2 linked regions of the Caenorhabditis elegans genome follow. The protein of the gene in region 2 interacts with the protein of the main gene of each other region in a pairwise test. Each region holds a gene or a part of one and is shown on either strand. Other genes may lie near its edges.

The links. The genes of interacting proteins can lie anywhere in the genome.
Region 1: the proteins of tax-6 (region 2) and kin-29 interact in binary tests that used the Caenorhabditis elegans proteins (3 or more experiments, as listed by UniProt).

The regions. Positions count from the first base shown.
Region 1 is NC_003284.9:2,850,500-2,854,253, reverse strand, and holds the start of kin-29 (Serine/threonine-protein kinase kin-29), read left to right. Parts: upstream 1-1,733; 5' UTR 1,734-1,866; coding exon 1,867-1,902; intron 1,903-3,291; coding exon 3,292-3,378; intron 3,379-3,754. Other genes in the region: Zinc finger protein tra-4, read left to right, coding at 87-213, 266-312. UniProt on the Caenorhabditis elegans protein: Regulates chemoreceptor expression by phosphorylating the hda-4 class II histone deacetylase (HDAC) and inhibiting the gene repression functions of hda-4 and the mef-2 transcription factor, enabling the correct sensing and transduction of food signals.
Region 2 is NC_003282.8:10,499,320-10,503,073, reverse strand, and holds the start of tax-6 (Serine/threonine-protein phosphatase 2B catalytic subunit), read left to right. Parts: upstream 1-2,013; coding exon 2,014-2,053; intron 2,054-2,538; coding exon 2,539-2,628; intron 2,629-2,876; exon of another isoform or gene 2,877-3,155; intron 3,156-3,364; coding exon 3,365-3,465; intron 3,466-3,512; coding exon 3,513-3,754. UniProt on the Caenorhabditis elegans protein: Calcium-dependent, calmodulin-stimulated protein phosphatase. Dephosphorylates arrd-17. Dephosphorylates daf-16 at 'Ser-319' which regulates daf-16 nuclear translocation. Dephosphorylates calcium permeable cation channel pkd-2 at 'Ser-534'.

The sequences.
Region 1 (3,754 bases), on a different chromosome or scaffold from region 2:
ACTCACAATGAGATCAGATTATATCCTGGTGCCTGCCCTTTTGTCATGAATACCCTTATATGAACTTTTAATTATATTGATTCCAGGAACACAAGAGAGATGAGCATGGATATGTTTGCGCGATTTGTCACGAACGTCACGCGGAATACCCCGAGATGAAACATCACGTGTATGAAGAGCACGGAGGCTACCTGGCAGCAGATGAGCCGACAGGTATCACTGAAAAACGAATGACAGAATTTTTAAAATTGAATTTTAATTACAGCATACGTGGAGACTCCGCGGATGTGGATACTCTACAAAGGCGAGTGAAACTTCTTCATCATCACAGATCTTCATCAAAACTACCACACTTTCATTTGATACATTTTTTTTTCAATTTTTTGTTTGTTTTTGTTTCACTTCCCGATTATGTTAAAAAGGGTTTAATTTTGTCATTTAATGTTGATTGTACTATTACTGTAACACCTCTTACTTTTTTTCAGACCATGGACGTGTTTTAATGTTTTAATCTAGCGTGCTATCAATCATTCAACTTTATTCATGATATACACACAAATAAATCAGGTTACTATATGTAGATATTTTGAAATTTATGACATAGTTCACATTGAATTGCTGAACCTTTCGCTTTTTTGTTTTTTTTTTGCATTTTTGTTACCATGATAACTTACAGGAAATGCTCAGGTGGTAGGACGGTAGCAATCATGAGAAATACAAGTCCTGCCTCCCTTTAGGTTCCCACAACCTTAACGGAAAATATTGGCCACAGTCACTGGCTTGGACGTGGCTTAAAATAAAGCCTAGTGGGAGTACCACCGGGCAGTGTACTTGACTTTCAGATGCGCGGTGCATGGCGCTTCACGTGGTGTGTGGCTGTGCCATCAGGGTTTGATCTACAAAAAATGCGGGAATTTTTTGCCTTTAAAAATTTGACGAGAACTCTGCGTCTCACCTCCCGCATTTTTTGTAGATCTACATAAAGCAAACCAAAATGGGACAATCTAACACCACGTGGTGCTTGAAGAACGGATCAAACTTGAATCCTTCAATGTTTTTAATTTCAAGTATTTTTAATTGGAAAAGTTATAGTTCCATTGGCATTTTTTATTTTAGAGTCCTAACTATCAATCAACTTTTTTATAACATATACACATATAAGTCAAGTGACTATAATTTGAAATTTATTACAATGCTCATATACAAATGCTGAATGATTTTTATCATTATAAAAACTACGTGAATTAATTTGTTGGTGGTTTAAAAGTTTATTTTCTTGAACTTGCTCAAGCAGTGCGATCTCCGCCGCCCGGTTGAGCTCCTCAAGGCATTGTATGAGTCAGTGTGAGAGATCAGCAAGAAGCGACGAGAGTTCTTAACGGGACCCGGGCACGCGTGGAGAAAGAGAGAGACGCAAATCCGAGACATTGAGAAAAAGAGACAGTGGTCGCTGGACGGGTGCGTTTTTCCTGTGTATGTGTGTCTGTTTGTGTGTGTGTGCGTGTGTGCGGGCCCCCCGCTGCCTTAGTCCAAAGTGTGAGAGTGAGAGAGAGGATGGTGGGAGAAGATGGGAAAAAAGCGGCGCGGAAAATCGAGAAACACAGTGCGGGAAAGAAAGCGAATAGGAATTGTGTGCGAGCGCGCCATGGCGGTGAGCGTTATTGAGTGTATTGGAAGGCGAGCGTGAGAGAAGAAGAGACGCCGAGGCGGCGGCGGAGGCGGCGGCAATGAGCGTTAGTGAGTGAGTGGGTGAGTGAGAGCGTGTATGTATGTATATGTGCGTCTGGTGGTAAAACTCTATGCACTCTCTGTTTTAACTTACGACACTATCTTGTCGCATTCAGGCGCCGCCACACCAACACTGCAATGGCTGCGCCACGGCGGCGTATGGGCCTTGAAAAGGTGGGTGTTCTTCTCTCTGTTCCATTCTTTGTTCTCAATTTCCCTTCCCCACACACACAAAACACCCACACTTAATTGAATGGTGCCTAGTTAATTGACTTGTTCGGCGTGCGATTGCACTTTATTTTTTCTCCCCATTCATTTAAGGTCACACAATTTACATAAAATATGTATGTAAAAACATTGCGCAATCTACCGTGAGAAGGTGCGTTTTGTCGTTTTTGTTTCCCGCCATAGAACAGTCTTTTTCTGATTTTATCGTTTAATGCCCAAGCAAATTCCCACGCATCCGTTCGACAGTCGGCAATAAATCAACGAGCGCCGAGAGTTTAACGGCAGAACATAAAGATGGATGCTTGAGAGTTTTTCTTTTTTTTTCGTCCGACAAATTTTTGCACAGCATTTTTGACCGCTTTACGTCATGCAACGTTTTTAGCAAGAAGTTAAAAAAATAAAATAGATTAAAAGTGGAGTAGCGTCAGTTGTGAATTTAAAAAATTGCTATCTCACCACACCACAGTAATCAAATAACAGTTAAAAACATTTTTAAAAAAGTTGAATTTTATGATTTTTTGAAAATTGGAAAAAATCCCAGTTTTCGCCACTTTTTGGAAGTTGTCGATAAAAAAAGGTTTTTAACAAATTCTCCACTGGCGCTACTCCACCTTTAAAACAATGTTCCATAAAAAAACCTGCGTAGTTTTTTTTTTGGAAAAAAAATCATTACTTCCTTTCATGTTAGTTGGTTTCCGATGCGATTATGCAGTTGCATAAAAAATCTTTCCCACATTTTCTAAATTTAAGATTCTCCATTGCATTCGAATTACTATGGAAACAAAGTGCAGATAAACCGTAAAACGTAAAAAGTTTATTTTCTTAAAAATTCAAAATTTCCTTGACGAAGAGTGTTGCAATTTCGATTCTGCCAAAACACAACTTAAACCGATGTTATTGAACTTTCATTGATGGAAAATGTGGTAAAACAGCATATTACACAATCATTTCACGTAGCCAATTGATTTAATTCGAAGTGATAGTAGGACTGTTTGCATGATCAAAGTTTGACAAACTTGTATTCGAATAGATATTTTGCCTGACTAGCAACCCTTCAAATTGCGGTGGTGATGTTCATAATGATGGGAGAGAATGAGTCAAAATGTATTGTTGTCGATTATAATTGGATTTGGTTTTTTGTTCGTCAGTCTGCACGCGCTCCGCATATGGGGGTTAAGAGCAAAACGTGCGTCCGCCTGGTTGAACGATTCTCATTCACAAGAACAAATATTGCTAATATAGTGAATAGTGGAAAGTGTTTTGTACAGAAGGCGAAAAGAAGGAAAACAACTGAAACAGTACCATCATTATTATGTACAAAACAATTCGTTTCAGATAGGCCTGTATGATGTTGGTCGGGCAATTGGCAAAGGCAATTTTGCCACAGTTCGGATAGCGCGGCACAAGATTGCTAAGACTAAGGTTTGTCCGGTTTTATTTTTCAGGTTCAAAAAGTCATGAATCGTTTAGATATCATTGTAAAAGTTAAAAGAAAGGTTTTGAAACTTTACAGTTACAGTCAAAGATATGCTTGAAAGTTCATAAAAAACACTAAGCTTGTGAAAAAATCCCATTTTTTGAAAAGTTGTCAATTTGCATTAGACTTCAAGAAACTTCATTCTGATATAAATTTTTTTTTATCCAGTGCCGCTTTATTAATCTTAAAGTTTTTTATTGAGTGAGTATATAAATTCAAAAAAATTAGGTACTTGTGCAGAATACCTGGCCCAACATAATCAATCGTTTTGAACAATTTTAGAATTTTTTTCCGGAAATTTTTAACTATGAGACAATTTTT
Region 2 (3,754 bases):
GGATTGCGGATCTTTGTTTCTTTTGACATCTCAACACTCTCTTTTCACTCGTTCTCTTATCTTTCTAGCTCCTACCCAGCATACACATCATCGTACCAACAAATTTGTATGCATGAAGTATCTATTGGACTCCTTGTTTCTGTCCCTTTTCATGATTATACCAGAGGGACCTATCTTTTTGGAAGGAATAAACAACAACAACAAGCCTTTCTTAGTGATGACTAAAAATTTAAGAATGGAACTATTATGTCGTTTAGAGAATTTTCATGTTCTGTTTTTACAATACATAGAGTTTCCGATTTTTTTTACTTTTTCTTTTTGTCTGAAATTTGTTTTTTTTTGTGTTTATTTTGAGAGTAGAAAGCCTGGTTTTGCTAAATTTTCCACCTATAATTTTTAGACAACATTTGAAACGTGCTTTAACTGAAACTGTCTATTTCTCTAATTTTCTCCGTTTCTGTCGCATCGCTACATATGTTTACCCAATTTCCGTGCTGCTTCTTTTCATTTTTCATTGTGCCTTATCGATAGAGAGAAGCAGAGAAAAAGAGCATCTCTCTCACGCAGAGGGAAAAAAGGTTTTTTATCGATAACACACACCGCCCATTACTTTTGATCTTTCCCTTTTTCAAAGTCATGTGGGTTTTTGGTTCTGCTCATAAATGATTTAATCAATACATAGCATGAGTTGAACAGTAGTTAGAAAATGACATCGCTCCTAGGAAGAAGACATTTTCAACTTATAAAATTGTTTGAAAGTTCTATTTTTAAATACAAACACTTAGAGTTGTACAGTACTACAACTGATATCGTTTTTTTTATTTGTATTGCACTACCTAGTATACATAAAACGATAGAAACAGAACAATTATTTTGTCAGTTGACAAAACGACAGAGAAACTGTCAGAATTGAATAATTCGCGAAATAAAAAATAAAGTGTGGTATTGACTGTTTTTTTTTTGAAGATGATGCTGAATTTCCTGATAAAGTTGTCAAAAATGAATGATGTTTAAGATATTTTTGAAGAAACGTTCGGAATAAATTTGTTCTCTAGAATAATTATATAGTTGCTCTCTCAATGATGTAAATCATATTTTGATGACATTTTAGCTTTAAGAAAATTCGCTAATAAATTGGTTGTAATGTTTCTCAAATAAATTTCTCTTGATTCTCCTTCCAATTCTCAATTGTTCCTTTTCTTCGTCTTTTCCAAAGGAACCCCGCCCATTGTTGTCGCCTTTTGGCATGCACAACTAGTTTTCCCTTCAATCTGAATTATTCGATTGGTCAAGCTTCTTTTCTTTTTCTTATTGAATTTAAATTTTTAACTATCAATTTGTTAAATTGAACGGAAAGCTTTGCATTGGAACATCTTATTTTTCGGGGACGTTATTCTTTCATAATCGTTATTTAATTCGTAAATGTTGAACTTTTTCTCTCCGTATGACAAAAATTGACCAAAATGTTGATTGCAGGCCTGTGAAAGATCGATCCGTCGTGCCGTGGTGTGAAGAGAAGTGACGTGAAACGGTCCGAAGGAGGGTATCGTACTGTTTCGCAAAGCTACATCATCTCCACACATAGCCGTTTCCCCGCTTCATCTACGGGTTCATACCAAACCAGAGTAGCTCATTCACTCATTTTTTTGAACAAAAAGGGTTCGTTTTCATTTTCCAACAAAATACATCCGATCCGTCAGTGGCGCCGCGCGCCGAAAAAGGAAAATATATGAGGTATTGGCCTCTCTCTCATAAAAGTCATAAAAATTGAATCGCCATGGTGTCCGCGAGAGAAGGAGAGCCGCGTGAGAGACTAGAAGAGAAATGAAGAAAAAAGGAAAAAAAGGAGCTCAAGAATACAAGTCAGCTGCCCCAAGATACTCGGCTCCGCGCAACTCCACACCATTTCCAGAGTTTCCCTCACTTTCTTACAATTTTGAATTGCAGGTGAAACAAAAAATCAGTCGATAAAAGGAAAAGTCATCATCAATTTTAAATATATAAACACACACAATGGCCTCGACATCGGCAGGACAGAACTCTGCAGCTAAACGTAAGTATTTACTGAATCCTCGTCTGAAACTACCATTGTTTTTATTCTTATTTTTTGCAATTTAAGACTATCGCTAAAATCAGCAAACATTGAGCATTTTTTGAATAAATTTCAAAAAGTTAAATAGTCCATTTTCAATTTTAGTAGGAACTAGAATTTTCATTTTCTTTGATTGGGAAAATACGGGAAAAGAACAATATTTTTTCAAATCAATTTATTTTGAAGTTTGGTTTCCGTTTCACGTTACATACCTTTAAATGTTATCGAAAAATTAGTTGTTGTTTTCCCTCTATCTCCTTTTGCCCCCTCGAAAAATGATTTTAGAAGGAAATAGAGACACAAATCGAATTTGTAGTGTTGTTGTGCATCATCACACACGCAGTCGTCGGGGGCTTCATCCTTTTTCTAGGTGTCTCTATCCGAAAAAATCTAGCGAAAGAAAAATGGATCTCATCTGGAATGCATGAAAAGAACCATTTTTTCAGCTGACACTACCAACACTACCACCACCGCCTCGAACAACAATCGTGAACGCGAACGTGATTTGAAGCAGTTCACCGAACGATTTGTCAAGAGTAAGTATTTGGCTTCTGCAGTCGGGCGGCAGTTTGAAAAAGAAAAACCAATTAAAGTGTTTCTTGCTTCAGGTTACGGAGAAAAGCGCCATGCTCTTTTTTTCTCTTTTTTTTTGCGCAGCACACCACAACCACCCCCATCCACCCTCACATTGGCACACACACATTGAAGAAGCCAGAAATTATACGCGCAGAGAATTTTTTTTTTTGCTTGTCCCGTTGTCGTCGTGAGCTGCAGAGCCGCAGAGAGTTTCTTCTCGTCTATTCTCAGCGCAAACTCTCACTGTCTGACTCACGCGGGTCCGTTGCTCTGAGGAGCTCACCAATGGCTCCGCGTCGGCTCACCAGGCACATAGAAAATATATCGAGAGATAGAGAGTTCTTATTCTCTCTGATTCTCTCTCCGTCATTCTCTTTTTCTATTCGAAAAGATTCTGACGAAGTCGCCGTCATTGGCGTCGTCGTGTGTGTGAGAGAAGACGGGAAGGAAGGGGAGTGAGTGACTGCTGTAGCTTGAAATCGAAAATTAATCCCGAAACGCTTGAGAGGGTTCCCATAGTAATTTAGGAGGGCGGCGGCGGCTCGGGCGCCATGTGGGGAAGATGAGCGTGAGAAGAGCATGGAATTTGAGAAGAATTGAAAAAAAAATAGAAGAAGGGAATAGAAAGATGAAGGAATTCGGAAGTAAAATGGAATAATGAAAACATTATATTTTTTCTAATTTCTCATTTTTCAGCCGTTCAATTTCCTGTTTCCGAACGCCTTACCGTTGATCAGGTCTACGACCGGCGGACTGGAAAACCAAGGCATGAAGTTCTTCGAGATCATTTTATTAAGGTGTGGAATAGATTTTTAAGAATATAATCAAATCAACAATTTTGCAGGAAGGAAGGATAGAAGAAGAAGCCGCGATTCGTGTGATTCAAGAATGCTCAAGCCTGTTCCGCAACGAAAAAACGATGTTGGAAATCGAGGCGCCGGTTACTGTATGCGGAGACATTCATGGTCAATTCTACGATCTCATGAAACTATTCGAAGTTGGCGGATCGCCCGCAACTACCAAGTATCTATTTTTGGGTGACTACGTGGATCGAGGATACTTCTCGATTGAATGTGTCCTGTATCT